Linked DNA regions of Ovis aries. The protein of the gene in region 3 interacts with the protein of the main gene of each other region in a biochemical or structural test. Links are inferred from orthologs where the notes say so. Each region holds a gene or a part of one and is shown on either strand. Other genes may lie near its edges. The genes, in order: GSN, HCLS1, CASP3, granzyme B-like and PANX1.

Region 1 (5,857 bases), on a different chromosome or scaffold from region 3:
CTTGGGGACAGGGGTATGTCTCCTTCTAGCTGAGAGATTACGCCTGCATGAGATGTGAACCAAAGTCTAACTTTCTCTACCAACAGGTTCAGAGTAAGAGTTCATGTTCCCCTAAGGCCTGAGAAGAACGCCGGTCATCTGATTTGCCTCTCTAAGGTGCTTTGCTATTGGCAAGGGGATTCTATCTGCCTCTCATCTGCTGGGATCATGCAAGGTAGGCACCATCACGCCCATTCTGCAGATGAGGACATGGAGCTCAGAGAGGGAAGTTACTTGTGGGACCGTCTGTTACCTGGTCCCAGGTGTCCAGAAGCATGACGTCATCGGTGGCCAAGTCTTCCTGCATGAGCTCACCAGGGACCTCTTCGATCTAGGAAGGGATGGAAGAGGGTAATGAGAGCCCACCTGCAAACCGCCGTCCCCCAGCTCTCTCTGCCCTCCATGGGGAGGGCTGAGCTGGCTCCAGCCTGTGGGGGTCTGCACTGGGTCATCGAAGGTCTCTCCCTGCCCCCGCTGCGGATACCTCAGCTTGCTCCCTGGAAAACACCTCCCAAGGGGCGAGCAGAGGCAGCGACCTCAGACCTCCCCTGGGACTCACCACAAAACGTCCGATCTTGTTGGAGCAAGCGAAGAGGCGAGGAGGGTGGGCGTCCATCTTCTTGTCCTTCAGCCGTGGGGACGTGCGGTAGGCGGCCTTCCCACCCAGGGCCTCCCAGAAGCTATCTGTGAGGGGAGGCCATGCCAGTTACCAGCCGACACCACCTCCCCCTCCAGCACTTCCTTGTAGACTCTGGGACAGACGCTGCCTTCGCACAGCCAAGTGCTCTCAACCGCCACCCGGCATCTTAAAACCCCAGCATGACAAAGAAGGAAAGGGCCTGCAGGACTCGAGGGTGATGAAGCAGAGGCCCGGGAGGGTGGACTGGGCAGCAGACACAGGGCCGGGGCTGCTCCTGGTCTGAGACAGGCGACGCCCTCGAGGCGGCTGAGGCTCAGAGAGGCCGAGCCACTCGCCCAGCGCCAGACAGTGCACGCGGAGTAAGCTCCTCATCCAGCTCCTGTTCCCTGTACTTTCCCACTATAGCTGCTCTAGCCACGTGTGCTTTTTATTCAAATGCATTTTCCCAGCAGTCACATTTAAATACATGTTAATTGAAGCATGTGACTGGCGGTGGTTTAGTCGTGTCTGACTCTTTTCCAGCCCCATGGACTAACCACCAGGCTCCTCTGTCCACAGGATTTCCCAGGCAAGAATACTGGAGTGGGTTGCCATTTCCTTCTCCAGGGGATCTTCCCGACCCAGGGATTGAACCTGAGTCTTCTGCACTGGCAGGGGGATTCTGTACCCCTGGGCCAGCAGGGAACCCCATAGGCACGTGACTCGTGGCCACCGCATGAGACCTAGCAGACACGGGACATGTCCACTCTTTCCAACGTTTTCAGTGGATTATGTGACTCTAGACTGAACTATCCTTCCCCATTTCTGCTCAGCATCAAGCAAGAGAGAGCGGGCTTAAAAGTAAGGAGGGAAAGATCTATGGTTAGCATAATGGAAGTGTTCCTGACCCACACTCTGGAAATAAGGCAGGCTTGTGGCATTTCTGTCCACGAAGCTTCTCAAGGTTAGGCTGATGCTGCCACCTACAATCTTTCACAGCTTTCCCGCAAGTGAGCCCCACTCCAGCTGCCTTCCCCGCCTGCCCCAGCCCACACTGAGCTCTCCTTTCTCTAACTCCCAGACGCCTCCCTCTCACCGACCGCATTCTCATTTTCATCTCGTGTGTACGTGTTAGTTGTGTCCGACTCTTTGTGACCCCATGGACTGTGGCCCGCCAGGCTCCTCTGTCCCTGGGATTCTCCAGGGAAGAATACTGGAGTGGGTTGCCATGCTCTCCTCCAGGGGATCTTCTCAACCCGGAGATCAAACCCAGATCTCCCGCATTGCAGGCAGATTCCTTACTGTCTGAGCCACCAGGGAAGCCCCGTTTTCATCTCACCCACTTTAATGGACACACGTTAAGGGACAAGTACTGAGGCAGGAGGAGGTTAACGAAAGCCCCGAGCAGACAGGAGGCAGGGGAAGCCAGCAGCTCCGTCCCCAGCGAGCAGCAAGCCCCCCGCCCCTCACTCCTACCTGGCTCGCTGCCTTCTGCCACCTGCACGGGTTGGGCCCGAAGCACCCTGAGCAGCTCCAGCGCCCCAGTCTTCTCTGCCTCACTGGCTCCCGCACCCACCCACAGGTAGGCGGCCGAGGGGGTTTTCAGGACAAAGGCATCGTTGGAATTCAGTGCTCCAGCCTTGGGCATCACCTGGGAGGGTAGTGCTCAATTAGTCAATCAGGAAACAGGTAAAAAGGCTTCAGCCCCCTCCTCACGGTCCAGGAGATGCTGCAGCAAGAGCAGCTCTTAAGGGTGGATTTGGAGGAGGGAGCGTGTGCCCCATCAGAGCTGAGGACAAGGACTCGGGACGCTGAGAGGCCTCGCTGACTCCCGTGAGTCACAAATGCACTGTGCTCAGCCAAGGAGACTCTAGAAACCTGGGATGCATTAATAGAAGTTGAGCACCCAGAACAAAGGAGGTGATGATCCCATTGTCCTCTAGGCTGCACAGTAGGATTATGCTCAGCTTCTGCACCTTCCACCATGAAAGGGACAGCAGCCAAGTGGAATGGAATCAAGAACAACATCCAGATCGTGAAGAATGGACTATTTGTTAGGTAGTGACTTGCCCGTCGTGGAAGGTATGCAAGGGACACTGGGCATTCTTGAAACAAGGGGAACTCTAATACATACAATCCTGCTGCCAGGGCAGGGAGATACAAAAAGCTGCTTCTTAGCCCCTCAGCCACCCCCACCAGATCCAGAGATCTGCCCATCAGGCCTGAGAGGTTTCTGAGAGGCCAATCCTGCTGGGGGTCCGGGGCCCGGGGCATTACCTCCACGGCCCGGGTGGCTCCAGAGCTGCTGGCCCGGACCTGGAAGAGGCGGGTGCTGGCAGGGGCCGTCTGCCCACCCTCGCGGGAGGTGCCACCCCTGTAGATGATCATGGGTTTCCCGCCGAACAGGCTCATGAGGTGAGCGGGCTCCTTGCCTTGGACCACACGGCTCTGAGAGGGAGATGGGAGCACAGGTCAGGAAAGGGAGGCACGAGCATCGTGCTGTGCACACACACTGGGCTCAGATCAGGGCAGCTGGCGTGGCCCAGGCTCACCCCCAAACAAGCCGTCACGCTTGGGTCTGTGTGTGGAGCGGGGCGTGGCCCTACAGCGCGCAGGGGCTGGCCGGGGAGCAGGACGTGCAGGAGGGCTGGAGATGGCCCTGCTGGCTGAGGTCCCCCGGGCACTGCTTTGGCGTTTCCCCTCCCACAAGGCCTGGCCTGGCTGAGGCTGGGTCCAGTCCAAGAACCCAGAGAGCCCATGTTTGCAAATATTCCCTTAAATGGAAGCCCAGGGATGGTTCGTGGACATTCTTCCCGGACTGTGACGTCAGCCTCGGCCAAGAAAGCTGGCAGAGTGGTGAGAAAAGAGCCTTCCAGGTCTGGAGAGAGCCCTCCTGCAGAGCCAGTGCAGACTGCGGTCGAGGGCTTGGCGGTGGGAGGAGGGGACAAGGAGGTCTGAGCGGAGGACGGACCTCCTCTGTCCTCCCATCTGCTCCTGCCCTGTGTGCCCGCGTCACTTCAGATTCCAGCTGTGGCCCGTGCTGCCTGTATCCAGATCACCGCACACGGTGGCTCGTGGTCCCTTCCTAGCAAGAGCCACCACTGCTGGGTCAGAGCCTAGACCCCAGCTCCACCCTGCTGGTGAGAATTCAGGCCGTGTGTGATTATACACCCTCTGCCCGCATGTCTAATGAACCTCTTTCTCCCACGACTAGACTGTAATAAACCACATCACAGCGGTTCAGGGCAGGGCGGGGCTGGGAGCCGGGGGGAGGATCTATCTGTGTTCACGTTTGCAGACGCAGCGTCCGCATCCTGCATAAATGTCTGTCAAAAGGATGGATGCGTGGGATGAGGGACGGTCAGATGAGTGAGCAGCGGGCTGGGCTCACCTGCACGGGAGTCCCTCCCAGCTCCTCGTCCAGCTGAGCCGTCAGGATGGCCGAGGCGGCGACCTCATCCTGGGTGGACTGGGCGCCCTGCCTGGAAGGGAAGTGAACCTCAGCACCTCGGTTTGCACAGAGGCCAGGGCCCCTCCGTCACCCTGGGCTTGAGAAACCCACAAATCTCCAGATTACAGGTAATGAAACTGACAAATAGAGAGGAAAAGAGATTTCTCTGAAAAGGAACCAGAGCCAGGAACCAGACCAACACACCACACACCCCAGCTCAGCATGTCGTCTTCTTACAGCGGTCTGACCACAACCAGGGGACGTCCTCGTCCCAAACCTGCCCCACAGGGAGATGCACGGACAGGGGCTTTCTGCCTCACCCCTTCCTCTGCCGTCTAAATTTCCCATGACTGACCTGTGTTATCTGCATAAGCAGTCTAACAGATCAACGTGCTGATCAAAGGAAATGTTCTAAAAGCCTTCTCGTGAATTTTGTTCCATGTGTGTATTATTAATATCTAGTCCAGAAACATTTCTTTCAAGCTGCTTGTAAAAGTCTGAGGTTGTCAAACTGAGAGGCAACCTACAGAATAAGACTAATGCTCTTCCACAGCATCCAAGCTGGGAAAGAAGAGTGATGCCTGAGGAACTGTCACAGATTAAAAGACGGAGAACACGATGATTAAATGCCACTGAGGAGATGTGATGACTAAATATCATGTGAGACCCTGGGTTAGATCCCAGGCCAGAAAAAGGACATTAGTGGGAGAACTGGCAAAATTCAAGAAGCATCTATAGAGGAGGACATGGTCTTGCAACAATGTTAATTTCCCAGTTTTGAAAACTGAACTATGGTTAAGTAAGAGGTGACCCTAGAGGGAACTGTAACAGATAACTGTCTGCACTGTTTTTGCAACTTTTCAGCAAGTCATTTCAAAACGAAAAGTTTAAAAAACAAGAAACCCATCAGTCAACCTTTAAGATTGCACAGAAAGAGAAATGAACTGAAAAATATTATACTGAGATATCATTTTATCAACTCTAAAGTTGACAAACAGCGGAAGTGTGATAACACAGTCCACCAGTGAGACCAGGAGGAAACAGATACTCTCATCTGTCACTGGTGAAAATGCAAACGGCACAAAGTTCATCTAGAGAAACTGGGTGCTATCTGTCAAAAGGACGAGCGCATTCACTGTCAGAGCCAGCAATCCAACTTCTGGGAACTCACTCTAAAGATATTTCTCTACGCATCCAAAATGATGTTTGTTTAAGCCAACTAATCATAGCAGTGCTTGTAATAGTAGGAGTCTGGAATCAAAGCAAATATGCATCCGCAGGGAATTTGTTAAATAAACTACAGGACAGCCACACAGTGGAATATTACATGGCTGTAAAAAAAAAAAAAAAAAAAGAGTAAGGGAGCTCTTTATGGACTGACATAGTCTGAGCTCCAGGAAGTATTAACTGAAAAAAAAAAAAGCAAAGTGCAGGACAGTATACACAGTATGCCATCTTTTGCATAAGGAAGGGAGGGGAACTAGGGATACAGGGTCAGCTTTGCTTTTATCTGCATAAAAATGGCTGGAAGGGTATGTAAGAGGCTAATGAAGGCAAGCACCCACAGAGGAGTGAGGGTTTTAGAGCAAGGTGGGAAAAGTCGTAAACATATCATCTCTCGTTAAAGAATTAAAAATAATTCTTAGTTAGAAAACATCAGAGGATAAATAGAACTTAGAGTGGAATTGAGGGAGAGATTTTCTGTTCGTTTCTCCCTAGTCCCCATGTCTCTCCTACAATGGACGTGT
Region 2 (5,692 bases), on a different chromosome or scaffold from region 3:
CATTTTCTACCAACCCTATACCGAATCCTGACTTTCAGTTTGATTTGATTTTGTTTTGCCTAGGGTCTCCTATTCCGGACCTTGCCAATCCCAATGGCTTTGGGTTAGATAAACTCACTGCATCCTGATCTCATCCCCATACTTTGCTTGATGACTTGTTTTTTGCCTATCACTGGCTGTCCGAAGGTCCTCACCTCTTCTATCAGCCTCAGCCCTGTACCACAGAGAAACTTCATGTACCACAGAGAAACTCAATCTACCTTCTTACACGGCCATTGATTTCATTCATCCAGCTACAGGGAAGCCTAGACTTTCTTTAGTAGAGGCCACTATCTTTGACTCCAAATCCTTTTTATCATCTCATTGTTCCCTTTTGTGCTTAGTTGCTCAGTCATGTCTGACTCTTTGCAACCCCATGGACTGTAGCCTGCCAGGCTCTTCTGTCCATGGGAATTCTCCAGGCAAGAATCCTGGAATGGGTTGCCATACCCTCCTCCAAGGCATCTTCCCAGCCCAAGGATCAAACCCAGGCCTCCGCAGTGCAGACCCACCAGGGAAGTCCAAGAATACTGGAGTGGGTAGCATATCCCTTCTCCAAGGGATCTTCCTGACCCAGGAATCAAACCGGGATCTCCTGCATTGCAGGTAGTTTATTTACCAGCTGAGCTACCAGGGAAGTCCAATTGTTCCCTTTTAGTTTTAATCTTTTGTTGTTGGCCAATCTTTTCCTCCTCCTTTCCCCTAATTTGTGCTTCTGTCTCAGCCAACATCATGCACTAAAGAAATGTCATTACTCCCAGGTGGAAGGTGGCTGACCTCTCACAACTGCTGAAGCCAGTAGAAGTTGAACTGCTTAATGTAGACCCTTCCTGGCCCCTGTTTCCCAACCTAACTGCCATTCCCCAGGCCCATCTCTTTTTCAACTGGCTATCAGTATAGTCTAAGGAAAAGGCACAGCCCTTGACACCAGGGTTCAGAGTGATGGGCGGTGATTGGAAGGATTTTTCTGAATATGCGAAAGAGGGAAGGAAAATTCCCTCTACCTGTAATGAGAGTTAGGGGCATTGAGGGCCACGTAAAAGTACTATTTACCTCAGAATCACAAGTATAATATTATATAAGAAAAGAATCGCCAGTCCAGGTTCAATGCAGGATACAGGATGCTTGGGGCTGGTGTACTGGGATGAGCCAGAGGGATGATACGGGGAGGGAGGTGGGAGGGGGGTTCAGGATTGGGAACACGTGTACACCCGTGGCAGATTCATGTTGATGTATGGCAAAACTAATACAATATTTAAAGTAAAAAAAAAAAAAAAAGAATAGAGGTGAACCATGGTCCCACTTTATTTCCAATTTAGGACCGATCAGAGAGAAGAGTCAGAGATATCTCTGCAGAGAAGGAAAGAGAGAAAACAATACATCTAGGAAAACTAGGAAATATAGACATACCTTGCCATGCAAACAGACCAGGAAGCTCAGCACTCACAAAGGAAAGCAGAGTTAGGGGTATGGGTTAGAGGGGGCACTCACGGGGAAGGAGGCAGGACCACAAGATAAGCATCCCTGAGATCATCCTGGGTATGCAGGATAGAGAAGACACTGAGGGGAAGGAGACCCCCTTCTTCATGCCTCCTCTGCTCCAAAACCTGATGGAGAGGGAGAGGGAAGTCTGTCTAGAACTTCAAGCAACTCATGACATCCTGTCAGACACTTGCAGCAGAAATGGAGAGCAGCTGGAGGCAGAGCCACTGGGGACATGCGAAGTCACAGTGCAGCAAGGAGACAGGAACAGTTACTGGAGGAGCTTGACATAATTTGCAGGGAAGAGTCCAAAGTGGCCGTGGCAACGTCCCCGCCACCAGCCCTCGTCCACCATCTCAATGTCAGTGATGACATCATCTGGGTCAAAGGAAATCTCATCACTTCCCTCTGGGGAGAAAATTGACAGACTATTAGGATGGTCAGGCAAAAATCCCTCCACCCCTGTGCCCCCTTTAAAGCTCAGGAAGGGAAAGAGGCCTGTCCTTGATGCCAAGTCTGGGGCCCTATTCTGACCCCCCAAATCCACCCTCCTCTCATGGATCAAGGGGCTCCAGGCACCAGACCCCTCAGAGCACTCCCAACCTACCTCCTTGGTAATCATACAGGGCTACAGCTGAGATCCCAGCTCCAGCCCTGGCTGGGTGGCCTGATGATCCTGCACAGGGAGAAATATGAACATGGTCTTACCAACATGGAGAAGGAACACAGACAGGTCCTCCCATGTAATGGGGGAATTCTTCTGCCCCACCACTCACCAGCCTGAGTGGAAGAAAAAGAGGGATCCTCAGGCTCAAGCACATCCTCATAGTCCGCCTCTGCTTCCTCATCCTGCTCATGTCTGTCTATCTCCGCAACATCCTCGTAGTCATTCTCAGGCTCGGGTTCGGGCTCAGGCTCAGGCTCAGGCATTGCTTCATACACTGGCTCTTCCTGCAGCTGGAAGACTTCTGGAGTCCTGGGGGGCAGAGCTGGGGCCTCCTCATTGTCCTGAGAAAAGATAGTATACTTGAAGAAAGGTGACTTCTGTTTTCCAAGAGATGACTCTCCAAAACCTCCCAGTGGAGGACTGCTAAGACCCTATCGTCCATATGCTTCCACTTCCATGTCCAGTCCTGGCTCCTTCTAACAGCCTCTCCTAGGGAACAGTCTCTCACCCCTCTTCCTTCTTCAACCTCTTCCCACATCCATCCACTCAAAACATCTACCAACAGACGATGTTAATAGAAGGGGAATGTAAAAGGTATGAGGAGAAGGAAATGGAACATAAGACAGATTCCTTGGAAGACCAAGGAAAAATCTAAAAGGGGAAAAGATGACAGCTAGGATGACTGTCCTAGTCTGCCCAGGACTGGGTGATTTCCCAGAATATAATACTTCCAGTGCTAAGGTCAGGATAGCCCCAGGCAAACCAGGGTGGTTGATCAGCCTGCAGGGCCATGTCCACCTACTAGGACATGAGGAGATGGGAAAGGTGCAGATCTTTGGGGGGCGGTCTGCTTACCTCTGGGGGATCCTGCCTTGAGGGCAGGGCAGGTACTGGTTGTTCCCTCTTGGTTCTCACAGGCTCAGGCTCTGATGGTGGACAACTCCCTGCTGGAGGCCAGGCCTGTGAAGGATGAAGCATCTCTCCAGTGAGCAAGAAACTTTATCTTCTCTCCTGTACTGGAACACCCCTTCCTGTCTCTGCCTGTTCACATCTGTCATTCCTCAAGATGGGCTCCAACCTGAAATGACGCTCCTTCCTCTTGTTCTTGCAGCAGTAACTGACTGCACTGCGTGTTGAACTATGTAAATCTTGGGGTTTTTTTCCACTGAGCATTCTCATATGTATATATGAAGCTCAATTACACAATTAGATTTAAATCTTCCAAAGACAAGGATAACACTTGGAGATTTTGCTAGCACAGGGGAGTTCTGGGTCTTCCCTTTTACTAAGGATACAGACCCCCTAGGCTCTTGTCCGGGCAAAGAATGCTGGATGTGGATCCCGGAGGGCTGAGTACTTACCTCTGAGGAGATTTTCTTAGGCAATGGGGCTGGTGCCGCCGGCTCTTCCCTAGTGGCCACTGGTTGCTGAGCCTCATGGCTCATCTTTACCAAGGCCTTTCTCTCCTGTTGCTGCCTGGCCATCTGTTGTGCCTTCTCCTCTTCCTCCCGCTTCCTCTTTTCCTCTGCCATGGACTCAAATTTTGCCTTCAGCCCACGGGCGCCACTAGAAGCTACAGACACAGTCAAGAAAAATTAGGGTTGTCTTGGGTCAGAGGTAGGAGGGTAGCACTGGAAAGAAGAAGAGTCAGTTAAACATCCAGAAGAAGAGAAAATCAAGAAGGGACTCATGGAAATGGAGGTAAAGAGGTATTAATGAAGGAACAAGGGGCTTAGAGGAGGATAAGGTCGCCCTGAAGCCTAGATTTTCACATAGACAGACCATGTGATCTCAGGCTCTTACTCCTTTAAGGCTTGGTCCGCTAACCTGCATCCTTCCTTGTGCACATTTCTTAAATCTATATACCCTCAGGCTACCATCTACCCACTGTCCCCCATCCAAAGTTCCTTTCCCTTTGTGTTCTTCCCAGATGGCTCCCCTCATCCCTGTGTTCGCTACGTACAGTTTCTTCCCCAGTGTCACTCAGATATCCACCTAACCTAATTTTTTTTAGGATAGAGAATCTGGGAATTTGAGGGTAGGGGTCAAGTCTACCTCAGCTAACCTAGGTAGTTAAATGCTTGGAGTAGGTAGTCTAGGAAGAAAAAAAGAATGAGAAGGCAGAGGAGATTGAGGAGCACAGAGAGAGGGAATTAAAACTCACCAGCCTCTATGGGTGTCGTCTTCTTGTAAGCTGTGGTTGGGGCCTCCATTTCATTGAAGCCAACAGCACTCTGCAGGCAGAAGAATAGTATGTGTAGTGGTGGGGAGAGGGAAGGGAGTGGTAATGACCCAGAAGGCAGTATCAGGGATTGGGGCCACTATAGGAGGTCTCCCTAAACTTCTGATGCTCAGTAGTAGTTAGACAGGGTATTCAAATATTGTTGTTTTGCATCAGAGAGATGGGTAAAAAAGTTCTAGGCTTGTAGGACTAGCTGTCCCTTTAAAAAAGCTCAGTGCTCCTGGAATTTCACATCTTTTAAGACCAGTTGCCTGGAACGCAGGAGTACATGAAGTACATGCAGTACATGGAGAGGCGCAGGGGAAGACCGAATGGAGTGGGGCTAGATTATTGACTGAGCTAATCAATACCAAGCAATCAGTGAAGTTTTAAATACTTTTCCCTGGAGTCTGTCTGCCTCCCTGTCTCTCTCCGCCTCCTCAGTCTTCTTGATAAAGCTCAGGCATCCGAAGACACACCCATTAGATGCTGAGGGCAGTCAATGGGAAGAGCAGGAGGACAGTGCGGGGCACCTGGCTTTGCTCATCCTTTTACCCACTTTGCCTCTCACTCCCCTCCATGGATGTCAGGGAACTCTTCCCAAGACACTGGTGCTCCGGTGCTTTACCTTATCCACTCGGTCCTTCTGGATGCCATACTGCCCGCCAAAGCCCTTGGCATAATCTGCAGGATGGAAATATCTGAGAGTCACAAGAGGAGTTAAATGCTAGAAATGTATGGGAAGAGGGGGGAGGAGCATTGGGAAGGAGGACCAGAAGACAGGAATGAGGAAAACAGAGAGATCGATGAGGAAGTGTGTAAGTCAGGGGATAGACAGAGGAATGTGTGGGAAAAGATGAAAAAGGATGGGGGAGAAAAACACCTGGGAGAGAATGGAGATATGAGACATGCGAAGAGAGGAACAAAAAAGAGAGAAGTGGCAGAAAAGGGGAAAATATAAAGGAAGACACAGGAAAAATTAAAGCGAGAAGTTGCTGTGTAGCATAGGCAGCCCAGGCACTCTGTGATACCCTGGAGGGCTGGGATGAGGGGAGGGGAGGGAGGGAACGTATGGATAATCATGGCTGATTTACATTGTTATATGGCAGAAACCAACACAATACTGTAAAAAAATATTTTAATTTAAATTTTAAAAAATAGAAAAAAAATTAAAGTGAGCCCCCCAGCCATCCTCTATGTGTCCCAGGGAAGAAGGCCTCTCTCTGTGAAGCAGAGGGGCCTCTCAGATTCACAGCCAAATCACACTCTTGCCATCACCCAGC
Region 3 (5,575 bases):
AAAATTGCATTGGTTTTTTTTGCCTATAAATGTTTTTCCAGTTTCTAAGGAAGACCATAGCAAAAGGAGCAGTTTTATTTGCGTGCTTCTAAGCCATGGTGAAGAAGGAATCATTTTTGGAACCAATGGACCCGTCGATCTGAAAAAATTAGCAAGTTTCTTCAGAGGGGACTGTTGCAGAAGTCTGACTGGAAAACCCAAACTTTTCATTATTCAGGTAATAGATAACTGAGCGATTTGGTTATTGAGGCTTCTTTAGGGATTAATTTACTCCATTGTGGATTATCCAAAGGATTTTTAATTTTTTTTTTCCTTGAAGCTACTAAACTATTGCTACTTTTTTATTTATTTAAACCACTGCTTAGGAGACATAGCATAAACTTTAATTTTTAGACTTCTAGCAAAATGATTCTTAATAATTAACATCAGTTTTTATAGAGCCTTTGCATTTCTTAGGGATAAGTTACACATTTATGCATGTACACACATTTTTTTCCAATAAATGTTTCTTTTCTTTTTTTTTCTAATTTTTAAATAGGTGTTTATTTTCTAACCTCTAGGCCTGCCGAGGCACAGAACTGGACTGTGGTATTGAGACAGACAGTGGTTCTGAGGACGACATGGCCTGTCAGAAAATACCAGTTGAGGCAGACTTCTTGTATGCATATTCTACAGCACCTGGTAAGAAACTTACAGATACTGAAATAGGTAGATTTTAAACACTGAAGAGTGTGTTCCAAAGGCTATAGGGATTTTGATATCCATAAAAAGCCACTGTGTCTTGTTTTAGGGTGCCCTAACCACGGAGAAGTCTCAAAAAGTTGTCTTTAGCCCAGTTTGGCTAGAAAATGTGCCTGTGTAAGAAAGCACATTTGCACAGTGTCATTCATGAACTTGACACCACCTGGAATCCATATTATAATACAGGCCAAGTCAGAGCTTCGCCCACTTCCTAAAATAGGAGAGAGGTGTGTTTTCCAGGAATTCTTTGGGAGCTAGGAAACTGAAAGGATAAACATGAATAGCATATCAGTGGGTAGAAGTGGAACAAGAGAAAATAAGGTTAAAAATGATTTATGGCTAGGTTATCAACCTGCGCTTTGTCTCTGGTTGTATTACACGTTATGTGTGTGAGCGCTTGTCATCATATAAATTAATATATATTGATCATGGACTTGTTTACTCATACAACTAACTCAGGGTGTGTTTGGAAATACAGGGCAAGTGTATTTTTAAACAGTATAACATTTTTAAATATAGTTGATATGATTTATTTTAACCTCCAGGCATCTTTCCAGTTCAGATTAAAAGCAGTGGATCCAGGGACTTCCCGGTAATCCAGTGGTTAAGACTTGGTGCTTTCACTACTGTGGGCCCGGGTTCCATTCCCAGGTCCAGGAATTAGGTCCCCCAAGCCACTCAACGTGGCCAAAAACACAGCAATGAATCCACTAGTTTATCTGGGAAAATAACGATAAATACACTATTTCCCCTTTTTGGACTTTTGAATATGCTATAATGTGTTTATTATACTCCATTCTTTCCCTGTAGACAAATTTAAGACCCTCAAATGTATGTGCGTACATAAGCAGGTTGTTGGATAAGCCAATCATCTCACTGCAACACCATGCTACTTATAATGATCCTTTTTTATTTCTTTGCTTTTGCATTTTCTGCCTATAAACCTGTTCTTCCCTATTGGAAGGGAAGCCCAGGAAGTAGAATTCTCACTCAGTGGTGCAGTTAGCCTGCAATTGTTTTCCTTGTCAGAAGCAGAGGTATATAGACAACATCTACTTGGTTTTTGTTTTGTTTTCCCCTGGAACCAAAGTTATGGTATATTTTTCTTTTTATGGCTAATAATACCAATGCATGTTTATGTTGTTTTTTACCTTCATGAATATGTCACAATTGATTAAATCAGCTGACATCAACTATCTGTGATATTTTGGTTATATTTTGCCCTATAGGTTACTTTTCCTGGCGAAACTCAAAGTACGGATCCTGGTTCATCCAGGCTCTTTGTGAGATGCTGAAAAAGTACGCTCACAAGCTCGAGCTCATGCACATTCTTACTCGAGTTAACCGAAAGGTAGCGACAGAATATGAGTCCTTTTCCACCGATTCTGCTTTTCATGCAAAGAAACAGATTCCTTGTATCATGTCTATGCTCACAAAAGAACTGTATTTCTAATCACTGAAGACACAGATGATTTTTGTTTTTAACTTGTATGCCAAGTGACCAAACGGTGTAAATGATACTATATTTTCCTCTCACCTCTAAATCTAACCTAATGACCCAGGTGATAACTTTGAAACATGCCGCCTTCCTAGCAATAGAACTACTGTGCAGCTACCTCAAACACAGTTGGGTAGTTGAGACTGAGTTTAATGAATATGGATCATTATGAGAAGAAAATGACTGTAAATTAGCAGTTCTCTTAATTACCGAGGTTTAGTGCTGATGCTATGCTACACATATTCAAGCAATGATGGAAAAAGGTAAACACTGCAGTAGTGTATTTCAGCCATGTGGGTATGCCACTGTATCAGGGAACATGCCATGGTTTTTGTCAAACAACAGCAGTGACGATATGGAATGAGGCATCCTAGAACTCCATGGTCCGTACGTGTGGTCTAAGACGTGAAGACCTTGATCTTAAGACAATGGTATTTTTACATCACCTGTTTGAGCTCATGGTTTTGTGATGTTTGTGCTGAGCATATCTTTGCTGTTTAAAAGAAATCATGTTTTAGCATTGAAAAAGAACTAAATGTTTTACTTGGGAAGGTGTGAAAAAACTAAGTTGACCCTGAGGGTAAATGCAGCAATCATAAAGGGCCTCAGATTGAGGACTGTAAGGTGCTGAAATGCAACTCTTCCACCAGCTGCTGGGCCTCATGTGCCTGCAGAATATCTAAAGGGCTCTTCTGTCAAAACCTCAGACTTCGATCACACTGATAAGAGCGTGAGTTGAAGAAATTCTGTAGGGACATACTAAAACACAACTTCAATAAACAGTGAGGTAGGAGGAAGAAACAGTCAGTCCATCAGCTGGGCACTCCATAATTAGAAGATGGTTCGAGCCTGACCATGGACACTGCGCAGTCTCTGTGTGGTGGGGTCAGAGCCATAGATTACTGCTTCAAGAAAAAGAATACGGGCTAGATTCTTCACAGCTATGGGTGTGTGTGGAAGATGCTCCCAAGGCAAGAAGCTCCAAGAACGTGAATCAAATTAAACTTCTGAAATGGAAATTTTCCAAAGAGGGTAAGAGTCATCATAAAAATCCTAGCCCTCTAATTTTTGTTTTATTTCAAATGATGGCTTTTAATTGGATGTTAAAGCGAATTCTTATCCGCCTTTCTGCAGATAGTCCATTTTATAAAATAGACTTGACATCACTATCACTGAGTATCAGTCCACTTCTTACTTGACGCTGGAGGGGAGGAGGTCTGCAGTTTTCAGCTTCTCAGGAATTGCGTAAATTAATGCATAAGTACCTGAATATGGTTTACAAAAGGCTCTGAGTGTTTGGGGAAAACACTAAGGTTTCTCTTTCCCCTTCATGGCTAACAAGGTCTCAGTCACCTTTGCTACGCATGGGCATGGATGTGCCCAAGTGTACACCTCACCACGGAACTTTGTCCAGGAGCTACGGTTCTCCCGAAGAACAAGTCCTGCACTCACTCCAGAACATCCCTTTCTGCCATTCCTGAATGTCAGCCCGTAAAAGCAATTTCCATTAGCATTTCCTCATTTTCCAGTATAAGCAGTGAATGTGGCCTAATGGTCTGGACCCTCATCCATCCTTTGCAGAAAATGGGGAAAAAAATCATAGTACCCTCGGCAGTAAAATTTTTGAGCATGTTAACTTTTATTCTGTTAATGTTTACAATCAAGGGAGAATGATACAGTTATGATCGTATACTTTTCTCTGAAATGCAAGAAGCAGGGCACCCAGGACTTGAGCAGGCATCCAGTCTTCCCTCCTTTGGTGCCCAGGGAAACTGAAGGCCAGAGATGGGACGCAGACCGGGGAGGCTCTGAGCCTGCTTGCTCAGGAGGTGCTGAACCTTCTGCATCGCTGTAACCCACTGGTTCCCATGAGCGTTCTTGTGCTAAACAACGGTGCTCACATTTATAAATGAACGCTCTTTGTTTTGATTGTGTCTGTAACTTTTTCTGAGTGAATGAAGCATGCTGTGGGATCAGAAGGTATGTTCCTATGTGACAATTTTGTAAAAAGTTTGTTATTATGCATTTCTATTTCCAAATACAAATTTTAATTTAAAATGACCAATAAGTTCAAGTTCCTGTTATTGTTTCTGATGTGCTGCTAATTGAAGTTAAAATATTTTTAACCAAGAGCTTGATTTGGGAGGACCAACAATGATGTGACGGGACCGTTTAATCAAACACTTTGAGATGGTGTTAAATTACCAAATAGGGTAAAGGAGCCTTCTTGTTCCCTCTAGGGCCCTCTCAGAAGGCCCTGTTTCTAAAATTACATGATGCCAGGAAGGATACTAAGTTCTCACAAACCACAGCCCCTAAATATGACCATATTTTTGTTTGTTTCCTTGCTTTGAGGAATGGGGAGTAGCAGAGTATAAAGGCTATCACTGAAATGAATCATTTTCTACCCATAAATTGTTAACAGGGCTAATGGTGGAGGGGAGGTATGGAATAAACCATTAATGTTCCCCGATGGTCAGCTCTGGGAGAGGTGTTGAGGGGAAGAATTTCCCTCTTAACAAAGGAATATAAGTGCAAACATGAGTGGTTTGCATTTCTTCTAATATTTCTGTAGTAAACATATATTACTTTTAAGTCAGAAAACTGAAATTCTCCTAATTGGGAATAAGGGATTCCTATTTCCAAGGAGTGGAGAGCAGCAGGAATAACTCCTTTAAGGCTGTTGCAGGAACTTCCCTGGTGGTGCAGTGGCTAAGACCGTGCTAGAGGTGCAGAAGGCTGAGGTTCAGTCCCTGGTTGGGGAACTAGGTCCTGTGTGCTGCAAATTACTTTTTAAAGAAAGACTCTGTTAAAGCTGTAGTTTTGTAGTACATTGACAGTTGAGCCCGTTCTTTGTGGTTGTTTAGTCACTAAGTCATGTCCAACTGTTTTGCAACCCCAATGGGCTATGGCCCTCCAGGTTCCTCTGTCCATTGGATTTCCTAGGCAAGAATACTGGAGTGCATTGCCATTTCCTTCTCTGGGGAATCTTCCCCACCGACCCAGGGATCAAACCCACATCTTCTGAATTGCCAGGCCAATGCTTTACCACTGAGCCACCAGGAAAGCCCTGAGCCCATTCTAATCTCTGCTAAATAAAAAAGGCTAAAAAGAAAAAGACCAAGAACCTGATAGAAAAATGAACCAAGGGCCGTGAACGGATAGTTCACAGAAAAAGAAAGACCAAATATCCTTTACACCTCAGAAGAAGAGATTAATCATCTTAATAAGAGAAATGCAAATTAAGGTATCATTCATCACCTGTGAGACTGACAAAAATCCTCAAGTTTGATAACACTATGTTGGCTGAGCTGTGGGGAAATGTATTCTCCCACT
Region 4 (6,590 bases), on a different chromosome or scaffold from region 3:
AGAAGGGGACGACAGAGGATGAGATGGCTGGATGGCATCACTGACTCGATGGACGTGAATTTGGGTGAACTCTGGGAGGTGGTGATGGACAAGGAGGCTGCAATTCATGGGATCGCAAAGAGTCGGACATGACTGAGCGACTGAAATGAACTGAACTGAACTGAGTACAAATTGTCTTTTTTAACCACAGAGGAAGGAAGCTAGAAATGAATGAAAAAAGGAAAACTGGAAAATTCACAAAAAGGAAAATATATGGAAATTAAACAACACACTCTTAAGTAACCAGTGGGCCTAAGAAGAAATTATGAGACAAGTTAGAAAGTACTTTGAGACAAGTGAAAATGAAAATGCAACATACCAAACGTATAGGATGCTGTGAAAGTCATGTTCAGAGGAAAACACATAACTATACGTGAGGACATTAAAGAAGAAACATTCCTAACCAGCAACACAACTGTAAGCCTAACAAAATAAAAACAGATCAAACCACTCAAGCCAGCAGATATAAGGAAACACTAAAGATTAGAGCCAAACAATCAAAATAAAAAGAATCAACAAACCAAAAGTTGGTTCTTTGAAAAGATCAATAGAATTGATACACTTTTAGCTAGACCAACAAAAAAAGAGAGAGAGAAGATTCACATTACTAAAATCAGAAATTTAAAAAAGGGGACACTACTACCAACCTCAGAGAAATGAAAAGAATTGCTAGAGAATACTATCAATGTTTGCATACCAACAAATTAGATAAAATCAAGATGAAATGAACAGTTGCCTGGAAATACAGAAATAACCAAAGCTGATTCAAAAATAAATAGGAAATCTAATCAGACTTATGACAATAAAGATTGAATCAAAAATCAGAAACCTTCTAACAAAGAAAATCCTAGGCTACCCTGGTGAATTCTATAAACATTAAAGAAGAATTAACACTAGTCTCACCCAGACTTGTTCAAAAAATTAAAGAAGGGGGAACACTTCCTAATACTTCCTACTATCATCCCAAGTATTTTAAATGCACTGCCATGATAATAATCTATCTGTGAGACATAAGCAAATGAGTAATATTTTTCCTTTCTACTTTCCAAATTTTCTTAATGAACATATACTACACACAAATAACAAGGCTAATTTTATTTTTAAAATTTCTACTGGTGGGCAAACTAAGTTCAAAAAAGTAAATGTTCGATAAATGTATTTGGTTTGATAAGGAGGATATTTACCCTGAAATTATGTCTTTTGATGCATAATATTCCTCAGAAAGCTGTAAAGTACAGACTACGTCAAGATAGACACTTAAATCCCCAGACTCTAACCACTCAGAGATTCTCTGTTGTTCTTGAACAGGGCTGGGTTTGGACTATTTAGAAAGAACTGTCCTTTATTTCCATACAGCAAGGTCTTCAGCAGAGTTTGTTCAGCCAGTGTGAGCCTCTAATGTGCCTGGCCTGCTGAGTCTGAAGTGTGGCCCTCTGGACACAGCACAGACAATACTCAAAGGACAATTACTGGTCTTCACTCACCCAGCATGCTCTCCCACTTCACATGGCATGGGCCACTTAGTCATCCAAACTTCCTTTGGCGAACCAGCCCTTTCCCAGTCTTAGTTCAGGTGGTTTAAGTGGAATCCGCCCCAGCCTACTCAAAGGAGGAATGACCTAGGCTTATATCAATCTGTATATTCAGTTTCTAGAGTCATAGTGATTCATTAAATTAGACCAATAAATGCCAAGCGCAGTACGTTTGTTTGCGAAACATGGACAAGAGAAATGTACTCTATCACTCTGAGTATTTGTAAGTTTTTTAAATGGTGGGGGTTTTTTGGTTTTTTAATTAATTTATTTTAATTGGAGGCTAATTACAACATTGTAATGGTTTTGCCATACATTGACATGAATCAGCCACGGGTGTACATGTCTTAGAAAGGAAGTTAAGAGGATGAGTGGATGGCTTATGGACTTAGTAGGGGGCAGGCGAGCTCTGTGCATCCCTGGACCACAGCCCTTCCCATGCTGCACTCAGGTCATGGATGTCTCTTTCTCCTCCAGCAGATGGTCAGCTCTCTAAGGGAAGCAGATGCATCTCCAGTGTGTTCGGTCATAACATAGAGAAGAGCTTAAACCCACATCTGCTCAAGAAGTTATCCTGTGGACTCAGCAGCATGGAAATGAGGCCCTGATGGTTCTACCACTGGGGACTCTGGTTTCTGGGCTCTACTACCTCTGCTGGTCGATACCACACCCTACAGTCCCCACCTTGTCCTCTTGGGTTCCTGCTCTGGGCTGGAACAAGTGGTCTGCTCTGAGTCATCATCTGTGGGTACTGGTGTGGTCACAGTATGATTCTCACACAACCACCCAGAGAACGTCATCAGGCAGATGGAGTGGGGGCGGGGCAAGCTTTCATAGAAAGCCTTTAGGATGAAGCATTGCAAAGCCGGAGGGGAACACGAGATCACTGAGTCCACGGACACTGCGTTTCTCTCCAGGAGGCTGGGGGATCTGCAAGAGAGCCAGGAGGAAGTACCAGCATCTCCATCCTGGGCAGTCTTTCTCGGAAGATGCAGCCACTCCTGCTCCTGGTGGCCTTTCTCCTGACCCCCAGGGCAAAGGCAGGTGAGTGACCATCCCCATCCCAGGGGCCCAACCCCACCCTCCAGGTGGCACAGAGGTCCCGCCCATTCTGCATGTCCCTGATCCAGCTATCCACCAGGAAGGAACATTCAGAACACCAGCTCCCATCCCACCTCATACCAGGGAGTATGATGCTGGATAAACCGCCAGCAGGAGAGAGAGAGTGCAAAGCCTGCTCTCAAGAGGAGCCAGTGGGTACCAGCCCCTCCTCCAGCCCTCCCTTTGCCCTCTGGAAAGTAGAACTTTCCCAGAAGTGATGGCAGATGGTCGCAACCTGGAGAAAAGAAAATACTAAATTGCCCCTGAAGAGGGCAGAGTGGGTCTGGCCTCTGCTTCTAGTTACCTCAGCATCTGCTTGGCAGACCCTGGAGTTGGTGCCTCTGTGTTTGCTCAACCCCTAGACCCAAGGCCCTTTACCCAACTCAACTTCCCTTCCCAGGCCATCAGGTGCTCCTCTCTTTCAAGGATGAAGCCAGTGTTTGGTAGACCTGAACTGCTCTGCTTCCCAGAAGCACACCAGCACTGGCCATACCAACAGCCCCCATCCAGAGGCCCACTGTGAGCAGGGAGGGTGCAGGAGGGGGCATGGTGACTCCTTCATGCAGCCAACAAACACCGGGCACTTACTACCAGTCAGGCCCTGGGAAAGAGGCTATGGCGACATCTAGGTCCCTACTCTGAATTCCTATGCCCTGAAAAACAGAGCCGTCCTGAATAAAACAGGATAATGGGGCCCTTAGAAATTCACCTAGAATGAAGCACAGGTCGGGGAGGAATTTTCAGAAGCCTCTAGGACTTGGCTATCCCTAGGACAGGAATGAAAAGTGAAAGTGTTGGTTGCTCAGTCCTGTCTGACTCTTTGCGACCCCAAGGACTGTAGCCCACCAGTCTCCTCTGTCCATGGAACTCTCCAGGCAAGAATACTGGAGTGGGTTGTCATTCACTTCTCCAGGGGATCTTCCCAGCCCAGATATCGAACCTGAGTCTCCTGCATTGCAGGCAGATTCTAAGCTCACCTCCAATTATGTGTGGGAGACAGATTCGCAGACCCAGACAGCTGCTCTGTTCTAGAGGAGGAAGTTGAGCCCCTTCCCAGCCTCCTCCCGCCCCACCAACTCCAGGCCAGGCTGGACTCCCCAGTGCCCAGCAGTTCTGAGCATGAAGCCGATGCCAACAAGGTACACAAGCAGAACAGCCCTTTTCCTTCAGGGGAGATCATCGGGGGCCATGAAGCCAAGCCCCACTCCCGCCCCTACATGGCGTATCTTCAGTACTGGAATCAGGACGTCCGGCATAGGTGCGGTGGGTTCCTGGTTCGAGAGGACTTCGTGCTGACAGCCGCTCACTGCCACGGAAGGTGAGGAGCAGCAAGTAGCCGGTACCTTTCTGAACACCCTTGGCAAGGGAGCCCTGCCTTTTTTCTCCAGGAGCAACCAGGCTGTTAGGAACATTGAGCCAAGAGGGTTCCTGGGAGGGCAAGAAAGAGGGGGCCAGGAGAGTGAGAGGGTGAGAAAGAGGGAAGGTCACTGCTGGAGGTGTTGCTGAAGGGAGAGAGAATAGACATAGGGCGCGCCTGGATATCAGAATGTAAACCAATGTAACTTCACATGTGTCCTAGGGCTAACTGCCCATGGAGAACAGTTATGCTCTTCACAGTGGCTCCAGAATCTGACCTTGGCTGCCAAGAAACAGACAGTACAGACAGCTTAGCCCCCAGGGCCCTCCTGGGGCCTGCATTTCCCTCAGTGGCAGCCTTGCCCTGGAGTCACCTGCCCTCCATGGCTCCAGGGCTGTAAACCCTGAGGTTGTGACCCCCATCTCCTGCTCTGCTCTCTGTGAAGCTCAATGAACGTCACCCTGGGGGCCCACAACATCAAACAGCAGGAGAGGACCCAGCAGGTCATCGGGGTGAGAAGAGCCATCTGCCACCCAGACTATAATCCTAAAAACTACTCCAATGACATCATGCTATTAAAGGTAAACCGCCCTGCTTCTCCTGCCCTCCCGGGATCAGCTCGTTTCCCCTCCCAGGACCTCCTACCGCTTTCTCCCCTCCGATCCTGGCCACCTGACCAGTCCCTGTGGCTCAGGACAGAGAAGAGACACATCAGCGTCATTGCCGTGTCCAGGCTTGGGGACCACTGGCTGAGCCGACTCTTGTCTCTTCCCATCAGCTGGAGAGAAAGGCCAAGCAGACATCAGCTGTGAAGCCCCTTAGGCTGCCCAGGGCCAAGGCCCGGGTGAAGCCAGGACAGGTGTGCAGCGTGGCCGGCTGGGGGAGGGACTCCACGGGCACCTGCACTGACACACTGCAGGAGGTAAAGCTGACCGTGCAGGAGGATCGAGAGTGTGAGGTCTACTTACGCAAATATAACCATACCAACCAGCTGTGTGTGGGGGACCCAAAGACAAAGAAAGCTTCCTTTAAGGTGAGAATCACAGCCTACCTTGCTTGGATCTGGGGAGAAGGGTGTTGGCAGAAGATCTGGGACCTGGGGACCACCTCACCCTCTAGGCTTGGGATCTCTCTCAGGAGTAAAAGGGGGAACAGCCGGAGCTGGGAGGACCTAGAGCCTCTGCAAGCCACGTAAGACCTACAGTGAATGCCAACCTGGCGCTCCTCCGGAAGGGAGAATCTGCCACGCACTGAGGCTCAGGTGTTAGAAAACCAGGCTTCCTGAGTGGGAGGTGGACCGGTCCAGGTGCCTGCTCAGAGCTGAAACCCACCTGCTTACTGAGCTCCCCCTCCCTGATCAGTGTCAGCCCTCCCAGCTGCTTCCCTGTCCTAAGAGCAGCCTGGAGCCAATAGCCAGCCCTCAGCATCTAGACAGAGAGGGGACGGAGACCTGGGGGCAGAGAAGGAGCTGCCCCCTGGGGGAAGTGAAGCAGGGACAAGGTCCAGGTCAGGGCTGGCAGCCAGGGGCCCATAGACCTGCCTTGCCCACTTGTCTCGCACAGGGACGCCTTGCAAAGTGGCCTTCTCAGATAGGGGTCTTGAAATGGCAGGGTGGGAGAGAGGGCAGGACCAGGAGGAGAGCAGACTCAGTCCTTCCGCTTCTCTGTCCTCAGGGGGACTCTGGAGGCCCTCTCGTGTGTGACAATGTGGCCCAGGGCATTGTATCTTATGGACGAGAAGATGGATCAACTCCTCGGGCCTTCACCAAAGTCTCAACTTTCCTGCCCTGGATAAAGAAAACCATGAAAAGCCTCTGACTGCAGGAACCAGACCATCTTCCCTGGGGCTAATCCAGAATCACACTGTGGGGTTGGAGGTGCCCATAGCTCAATAAATGTCTCTCAGCAGAGCTCGAAGGGCTGGTTGCTTATTTATTCACTGACTCCTATTCACAAACGCTCACTGTGTGTTTAGAAAGGCAATGACAGGATTCTGCTGTTTTCTGTTCCTCCTCTCCCCTCTCCCACCATCTCTTCCCCTGAACCCCATGCAAAGCTGTCACCCAGGTCTGCTTCCCCACACCTGTCTTCCAGGGCCGGCTGTCCCACCAGGGCTGAAGCTGAGCACCATCAGGGGAAGACACGAACCTCTCTGGTCCTGGGGCTCAGGGTGCGCTCCTTAGCTCCTTGCTCTGGGTACATGGCAGGGAGGAGTGGGTCACACCATTGGTCCCCGACACCAAGAGCAGAGCCTGGGGCTGCAGCTCCAGGACAGAGACCCTCCTACTGGGGAGCGGGGCTACCTGAGCTGACCTTTAACCCCTACAGCCAGGGGAGCCTGCCCAGAGCTGGGCTGGTCTCCTGAGAAGCCCCTCCATCTCACTCAGGCTGAGTGTCCTGCTTTGCCCTCCAAAGAGCCCAGGGCCCCCTCTCTGCCTCCAGTCTCCTCTGCCGCCCCTTCTTCTCCATCCCTGCCCATCACTGCACGTCCTCAACAGGGCCACCATCTCCTGTCCCCTCCAGACCACACTGATCTCTGCTGACCCCTTCCTCATATCCCTC
Region 5 (6,418 bases), on a different chromosome or scaffold from region 3:
AAGGCAATGCCAAAGGATGCTCAAACTACTGCACAATTGCGCTCATCTCACACACTAGGAAAGTAACGCTCAAAATTCTCCAAGCCAAGCTTCAGCAATACGTGAACCATGAACTTCCTGATGTTCAAGCTGGTTTTAGAAAAGGCAGAGGAACCAGAGATCAAATTGCTAACATCCGCTGGATCATCGAAAAACCAAGAGAGTTCCAGAAAAACATCTATTTCTGGTTTATTGACTATGCCAAAGCCTTTGACTGTGTGGATCACAATAAACTGTGGACAATTCTGAAAGAGATGGGAATACCAGGCCACCTGACCTGCCTCTTGAGAAACCTACACGCAGGTCAGAAAGCAACAGTTAAAACTGGACATGGAACAGCAGACTGGTTCCAAATAGGAAAAGGAGTACGTCAAGGCTGTATATTGTCCCCCTGCTTATTTAACTTTTATGCAGAGTACATCATGAGAAATTCTGGACTGGAAGAAGCACAAGCTGGAATCAAGATTGCCAGGAGAAATATCAATAACCTCAGATATGCAGATAACAACACTCTTATGGCCGAAAGTGAAGAGGAACTGAGAAGCCTCTTGATGGAAGTGAAAGAGGAGAGCGAAAAAGTTGGCTTAAAGCTCAGCATTCAGAAAACTAAGATCATGGCATCTGGTCCCATCACTTCATGGGAAATAGATGGGGAAACAGTGGACACAGTGTCAGACTTCATTTTTTGGGCTCCAAAATCACTGCAGATGGTGATTGCAGCCATAAAATTAAAAGACGCTTACTCCTTGGAAGAAAAGTTATGACCAACCTAGATAGCATATTCAAAAGCAGAGGCATTACTTTGCCAACAAAGGTCCATCTAGTCAAGGCTATGGTTTTTCCAGTAGTCATGTATGAATGTGAGAGTTGGACTGTGAAGAAAGCTGAGCGCCTAAGAATTGATGCTTTTGAACTGTGGTGTTGGAGAAGACTCTTGAGAGTCCCTTGAACTGCAAGGAGATCCAACCAGTCCATCTTAAAGGAGATCAGTCCTGAGTGTTCATTGAAAGGACTGATGCTGAAACTCCAATACTTTGGCCACCTCATGCAAAGAGTTGATTCATTGGAAAAGACTCTGATGCTGGGAGGGATTGGGGGCAGGAGGAGAAGGGGACGACAGAGGATGAGATGGCTGGATGGCATCACCGACTTGATGGACATGAGTTTGGGTGAAATCTGGGAGTTGGTGATGGACTGGGAGGCCTGGCCTGCTGCAATTAATGTTGTCACAGAGTCGGACACAACTGAGTGACTGAACTCAAGTGAACTGAAGTGAATTGTGATTTTCATTAAGAAGAAAAATAGAGGGGAACAGTGGATAACATGTACACAGCATTCATCAGTCGCCAGGCAATGTCCTAGGCACCTTATGTATATTAACTCTTTCAATCTTTACCTCAATCCTAAGCAGTATGAGGTACAGAGGGGGCATGCAACTTTCCCAAGGCCTGCAGCTGGTATCACAAGAATATTTAACAAAGGATTAACAAAAATTAATCCTGTTTAGTGTTTGCAAGGAAGACCCTCCAGGGGAAGTGACATCGAGCAGAACAGTCCAGGCAAAGAGGCTACTGTGGATGTGTTTTGGGGCAGGTGAAGGTCTGGAGGAGGCAAGAGCTGGCTAAGTTGAAGAACTGAAGGGAAAGTAGTGCAACTGGTAAGGCAGGCAGTGACCATGCAAAATAATTTGAATTTTATCCTAAAAACAAGGTACACTTTAAGAAGGGGAGTGATAGGATAATACTGGAGATTTTACAAGCTTCCTTTGGCAGCTGCTGGGGAGAAGGGCTTCCCAGCCTGCAGGGCCTACCTGTACGTGGTTAGGAGAGAGGATGGCAGCACAGGTGGAGGAAAATGACTAGATGTTCAATATTTAGGAGCTAGAAGCCAGAGAATTTGGAAATTGGTTAAGGGAGCTGGGAGAGAGGGCGCTGTTACACAAGGCAGTCCAGGTGTCTAGTTTGGGCGCATGGTCGCATGGCACTGCTTTGAGCAAGATGGGGAAGACTGGAGTTCAGGCCAAGAGGGGATGCGGGTTGTGTTCCTGGCCATTGTGTGGTCCTGGTCCCATGAGTCCCCTAAGCGGAGGGTCGTGCAGGCCGTGGGACGAGGACTCCGAGGGCAGGGCGGGGTGGAGATGTACACAGGGCAGGTGAGCGCACACAGAATAGGCTTGGCTGCACGGACCTGCCCGTGTACAAAGAGCAGAGACGTCAGCCCCGGCCCAAGGAGCCCTCCTGTTCAAAGGTCCTGCCAGCTCCAAGTGTTGCTGATCACAGCGTCTCTTGACTGTCTCTCAGCATCCCAGATCAAGGCTCCCGTGGGCAAAGCGAGAGGCGAAGCACAGACCCCTGAGACAGAGTCAGGCGCAGTCTCACCACTCTGAGCCTGCACCTCCCTGGCCCCCAGTGTTCCTGCAAGAGTTAAGTGCCCCGTCTTCCACGTTTGCTCCGTCTAACCCGTTCGCTCGCCTTTTATGGCGCCCTTTGCACCACCTTCTGACCCGATCCCGCCATGTAGAAATGCTGGGGGTGAGGCGTAAGGGGGCCGTCCGGTCTGCAGGGTGACAGGCCACTTCCGGAAGGGACTTCAAACTTCCCGGCGCCCGGAAGGGGAGGGGATGAGGGTGGGAGGGGGGCGAGGACTAGCCGAGGTGCCGCTCGCCCGGACGCCCCTTTCCCAGGGTTGCGGGCGCTGCCGCGCTCACCGCGCCCCCCGGCTCCCGGAAACACCGCGCTCCCTCGGCGCTCGCTCTCCTCCGAGGTTCCGGGAGAGCGCGCGGGGCGGGCCGAGAGCGCGCGGGGCGGGCCGAGAGCGCGCGGGGCGGGCCGAGAGCGCGCGGGGCGGCCGCAGCCGGGGCCTCGCGGCGCGGCTCGTGCTTTGTTTGGCCGCGGACTCTCGCCCTCGGGCGCGCGGCGGCGGCGCGGAGCCCGGGGACCTGCCGGGGTGGCTGCGCCCCGGCCTGCGGTGGAGGAGCGGGCGCGACCCGGGCTCCCGTGCCCGCGGAGCAGCCCCGGGACACTCCAGGCCAGGCGCCGGGAGAAAATGGCTGTGGCGCATCACGGTGCAAAGACCGGCGGAATGTGGGAGCCACCGGGGAGCAGGCAAAGGGAAAGCGAAACCCGCGGGCTGGGCTGGTGACGGGCGAAGGCGCCGCACGGCCCTCCCCACGCCGGCAGTCCGCAGGCCTGCCTCGCGAACCTGCCCGGCCCAGCCCGGCGCGCCGCAGCCATGGCCATTGCGCACCTTGCCACCGAGTATGTCTTCTCGGACTTCCTGCTGAAGGAGCCCTCGGAACCCAAGTTTAAGGGGCTGCGGCTGGAGCTAGCCGTGGACAAGATGGTCACGTGCATCGCTGTGGGGCTGCCTCTCCTGCTCATCTCGCTGGCTTTCGCGCAAGAAATCTCCATTGGTGAGGTCCGGGGCTGGCGGGATCGGGGCGGGCTGGGCCGGCGTTATCAGAGGTGCCCTGGTCTCTGGCTGGAAGTGATTTTACCGCGCGCCCCTGGCGGTGCTCGCCGTTGTCAAGGGCATATGCACGTTGGGAAGGAAGGTAGCCAGATTTGATGGTCTGAAGCATCCTTTGTCCACGTGCTCCCCGCCTCCCCGAACCGTGGACCTTGCTCGTGTCCCACTCCCCAGTTCGCCTGTTCCCTGCTGCCCACTGATGGCTTACTGGCAGTGTGCCCAGTCAGTGCCTACTGCTGACTGTGGCTTAGTGTTCAAGCCTCACTCCTAAGACCGGCGCCGTTGTCACTAGATTTGCCTGGAACAACTGTTTCCTCTTCCCTCCACGCCCACATTTCTGCAGTCACCCAAAATTTGTATCAGGGAAGCTCCTTAGTGTCTAAATGGAGGATATGAGAAAAAGTACCCCAATCAAAGTGCTTTCTCCCTTGTCTTACATTAAATTAATGTGTACTGAGACAGCAGCTGCAGGGTTGTGAATGATGGGAAATAACTGCTCTTGGCCAGTATTAGAAGGATATCCAGATCCTCTACCTGGATGGTCTTTTTGGAATGTGAGATGAATGAATCGCCTTCATGTAAATTCTCATGTGTTATAGCAACAGTTCTGTGAGATTCTGAAAGTCTGGTGGTCTGGGCAGGATCACGTGGCTACGAAGCAGCTGGTCTTCCTTACCAGCTGTTCTGACTTTGGCGGGGGCGGGGTGGGGGATGGGGTGGGGGGAAAGTGTTTTGAGTCAACAGGAAGGCAGCCTGTGAGGCTATACACAGCTCTGTGGAGCGGAGGTGGCCAGTGGGCTGAAGGATGGGGAAAGCTTGTGTGAGAAGCTGGGCTGGCCCTGAGCCCCTGCCCGTGCGTAGGATGTGGATAAGCAGAATTGACACTTCTGCCAAGATTTTGAGATGGCCGAGAAGGCCCAGTTCCTGGAAGGACAGACTCAGCGAGAGAGTATCCTCGCTGAGGCGGAAGGATTGGTCAGGGTTTCCGACATATGAGAGTGAATATGGGCCTGAGTCAGTGAGAACAGAAGACTTGGTTTAAAAAGTGAAAAGTTATGATTTGAGTAGAGGCTGGACTAGCTGAAAACAGCACTTAATAAGTAATAGGCTGAGGGCAGTGTGTAAGGTCTGGAGAAGGCAATGGCATCCCACTCCAGTACTCTTGCCTGGAAAATCCCAAGGACCGAGGGGCCTGGTGGGCTGCTGTCCATGGGGTCGCTAAGAGTGGGACACGACTGAGCGACTTCACTCTCACTTTTCACTTTCATGCATTGGAGAAGGAAATGGCGACCCACTCCAGTGTTCTTGCCTGGAGAATCCCAGGGATGGCGGAGCCTGGTGGGCTGCCGTCTACGGGGTCGCACAGAGGACACGACTGAAGCAACTTAGCAGCAGCAGTGTGTAAGGTCTGTGAAGGGGAGGAGGTTAGAGCTAGGAATGATGCCAGAAAGATTCGGAATCAGTTGAGGTCTCCTGTGAGTGTGGGCCCCACGACTAGAAGGGAAAGGATGGGAGGTTTCCAGGAGCAAGGAGCCTCGCTGTTGGGTGTATAGCTTTCCAGAGGCCCCAAAGGGCTGAACTGATCAGAGATAACGGAAAGGCTGCAGGCCTAGTGATTGGAGAGTCATATTGACAGAAGTAGTGAAGTTGAGGGAAGAGTTGGTTAGAAAAAGGTTACAGTGAGCTTGATTTTGTGATCTGCACCACAGAATTGTTCAACTTGGTAGGAAGTCACCAAATTCATTTCGAAAAGTAGTCTTCAGTTTTCCTTGTCATTGGGCAGGCATTGATAGTCGAAGCTTTCCCTCTGCCTTCCTGTGAGTTGAGGCTTCCGGGAGAAAGGAAAACCACAATGTAGCGTGGATTCTGGAGATGATCTGTCCCTTCAGTGAATGTTTCCTGAGGACCCAGTGCTGGGTGCTGAGGACCCAGGAGTTGGGGAGACGTGGGCTCTGCCATGGGGGAGCAGCCATCTGATGCCAGGAGCTGGGTACCATCTGTGATCAAACCTTACCTCTAGCCCACGTATTCCAGAGACTCTTAAGAGTGCTGTCTGCCCCTTCTAACTGATGGGCTGTCTGAAAGGCATTTACTTTGGATAGGTTTACCCAGTGGGAGGCTGAGCTTTTGCTGTTTTTTTTTTTACTGGCGGGGGGTGGGGGTAGGGGTTGAAGGAGTTTGAGGTGTGGTCCCCTCCCCGCCCTGTAGGAGTTTACCATCCAGCTGGGCACAGGAACAGACTTGCTGGAGGTAAGGTGGTTCAGCAGTGTGTGATTCAATGACAGGGCAGTGTTAAGCTCTGAGCACCAGGTGGCAGGAGCTTGGGTGAAGCTGTCAGAAGACTCCTGTATACTGAGAGCTTCAGGACATTCGAGAGGAGGAAGGCAGGACCAGGGATGACATTAGACAAAGCCAGAGGACAGACTTCAGAGAGGAGAGAAGAGGTACAGGAAAGAGTGTGTGGATCTGGTCTGGTGGGGTCCTGCACGCTCTGGGAGGTGGGAGCAGAAGGGGCTCTGCCTAGCCATCTGTCCAGCGTTTGTGGGTCATCACAGAGGTGATGTGGTGTGGAAGGGCAGAGCGGGGCTGTGCCCACAGGCATGGTGGAGGGCACACTGGTGGCCTTTGCAGCAACCTGGAGCTGTCATTGCTCATTGGTCTTGCCTGCCCTGCGGCGGCCGGAATTACAAGCAGAGCCATTCCGGAGGGAGTTGCTAGGAGAATCATTTAATTTCTGAGTTGTGGCTGGAGAGTTTTAAAGACTTTTGCAAGGTGAGCTGCTGATGTTGGATTGATGTAAGAATTAAAATAGACCCCTGGTCTGGTTAAGCTTGATACTTTGCTCAGCTCTTCTAAAGCATTGCATGCCTGGCTCCCTGAGAGGGTAAGCTGGGTAGGGGGACAAAAAACC

Evidence for each region.
Region 1: of the proteins of CASP3 (region 3) and GSN, one has a biochemical effect on the other in vitro, tested with the Homo sapiens proteins (2 studies listed by BioGRID). The link is inferred for Ovis aries from reciprocal best matches to the Homo sapiens genes CASP3 and GSN.
Region 2: of the proteins of CASP3 (region 3) and HCLS1, one has a biochemical effect on the other in vitro, tested with the Homo sapiens proteins (2 studies listed by BioGRID). The link is inferred for Ovis aries from reciprocal best matches to the Homo sapiens genes CASP3 and HCLS1.
Region 4: of the proteins of CASP3 (region 3) and granzyme B-like, one has a biochemical effect on the other in vitro, tested with the Homo sapiens proteins (2 studies listed by BioGRID). The link is inferred for Ovis aries from reciprocal best matches to the Homo sapiens genes CASP3 and GZMB.
Region 5: of the proteins of CASP3 (region 3) and PANX1, one has a biochemical effect on the other in vitro, tested with the Homo sapiens proteins (2 studies listed by IntAct). The link is inferred for Ovis aries from reciprocal best matches to the Homo sapiens genes CASP3 and PANX1.

What each region holds. Positions count from the first base shown.
Region 1 is NC_056055.1:2,226,969-2,232,825, forward strand, and holds part of GSN (gelsolin), read right to left. Parts: intron 4,141-5,857; coding exon 4,050-4,140; intron 3,107-4,049; coding exon 2,936-3,106; intron 2,310-2,935; coding exon 2,135-2,309; intron 724-2,134; coding exon 599-723; intron 371-598; coding exon 293-370; intron 1-292. UniProt on the Homo sapiens protein: Calcium-regulated, actin-modulating protein that binds to the plus (or barbed) ends of actin monomers or filaments, preventing monomer exchange (end-blocking or capping).
Region 2 is NC_056054.1:186,962,685-186,968,376, forward strand, and holds part of HCLS1 (hematopoietic lineage cell-specific protein), read right to left. Parts: intron 5,094-5,692; coding exon 5,038-5,093; intron 4,423-5,037; coding exon 4,353-4,422; intron 3,762-4,352; coding exon 3,550-3,761; intron 3,149-3,549; coding exon 3,044-3,148; intron 2,530-3,043; coding exon 2,298-2,529; intron 2,198-2,297; coding exon 2,129-2,197; intron 1,930-2,128; coding exon 1,793-1,929; 3' UTR 1-1,792. UniProt on the Homo sapiens protein: Substrate of the antigen receptor-coupled tyrosine kinase. Plays a role in antigen receptor signaling for both clonal expansion and deletion in lymphoid cells. May also be involved in the regulation of gene expression.
Region 3 is NC_056079.1:14,232,282-14,237,856, reverse strand, and holds the end of CASP3 (caspase-3), read left to right. Parts: intron 1-41; coding exon 42-217; intron 218-560; coding exon 561-681; intron 682-1,970; coding exon 1,971-2,194; 3' UTR 2,195-4,300; downstream 4,301-5,575. UniProt on the Homo sapiens protein: Thiol protease that acts as a major effector caspase involved in the execution phase of apoptosis. Following cleavage and activation by initiator caspases (CASP8, CASP9 and/or CASP10), mediates execution of apoptosis by catalyzing cleavage of many proteins.
Region 4 is NC_056071.1:32,605,707-32,612,296, reverse strand, and holds granzyme B-like, read left to right. Parts: upstream 1-2,438; 5' UTR 2,439-2,560; coding exon 2,561-2,615; intron 2,616-3,842; coding exon 3,843-3,990; intron 3,991-4,474; coding exon 4,475-4,610; intron 4,611-4,807; coding exon 4,808-5,062; intron 5,063-5,702; coding exon 5,703-5,846; 3' UTR 5,847-5,938; downstream 5,939-6,590. UniProt on the Homo sapiens protein: Abundant protease in the cytosolic granules of cytotoxic T-cells and NK-cells which activates caspase-independent pyroptosis when delivered into the target cell through the immunological synapse. It cleaves after Asp.
Region 5 is NC_056074.1:245,759-252,176, reverse strand, and holds the start of PANX1 (pannexin-1), read left to right. Parts: upstream 1-2,817; 5' UTR 2,818-3,270; coding exon 3,271-3,451; intron 3,452-6,418. UniProt on the Homo sapiens protein: Ion channel involved in a variety of physiological functions such as blood pressure regulation, apoptotic cell clearance and oogenesis.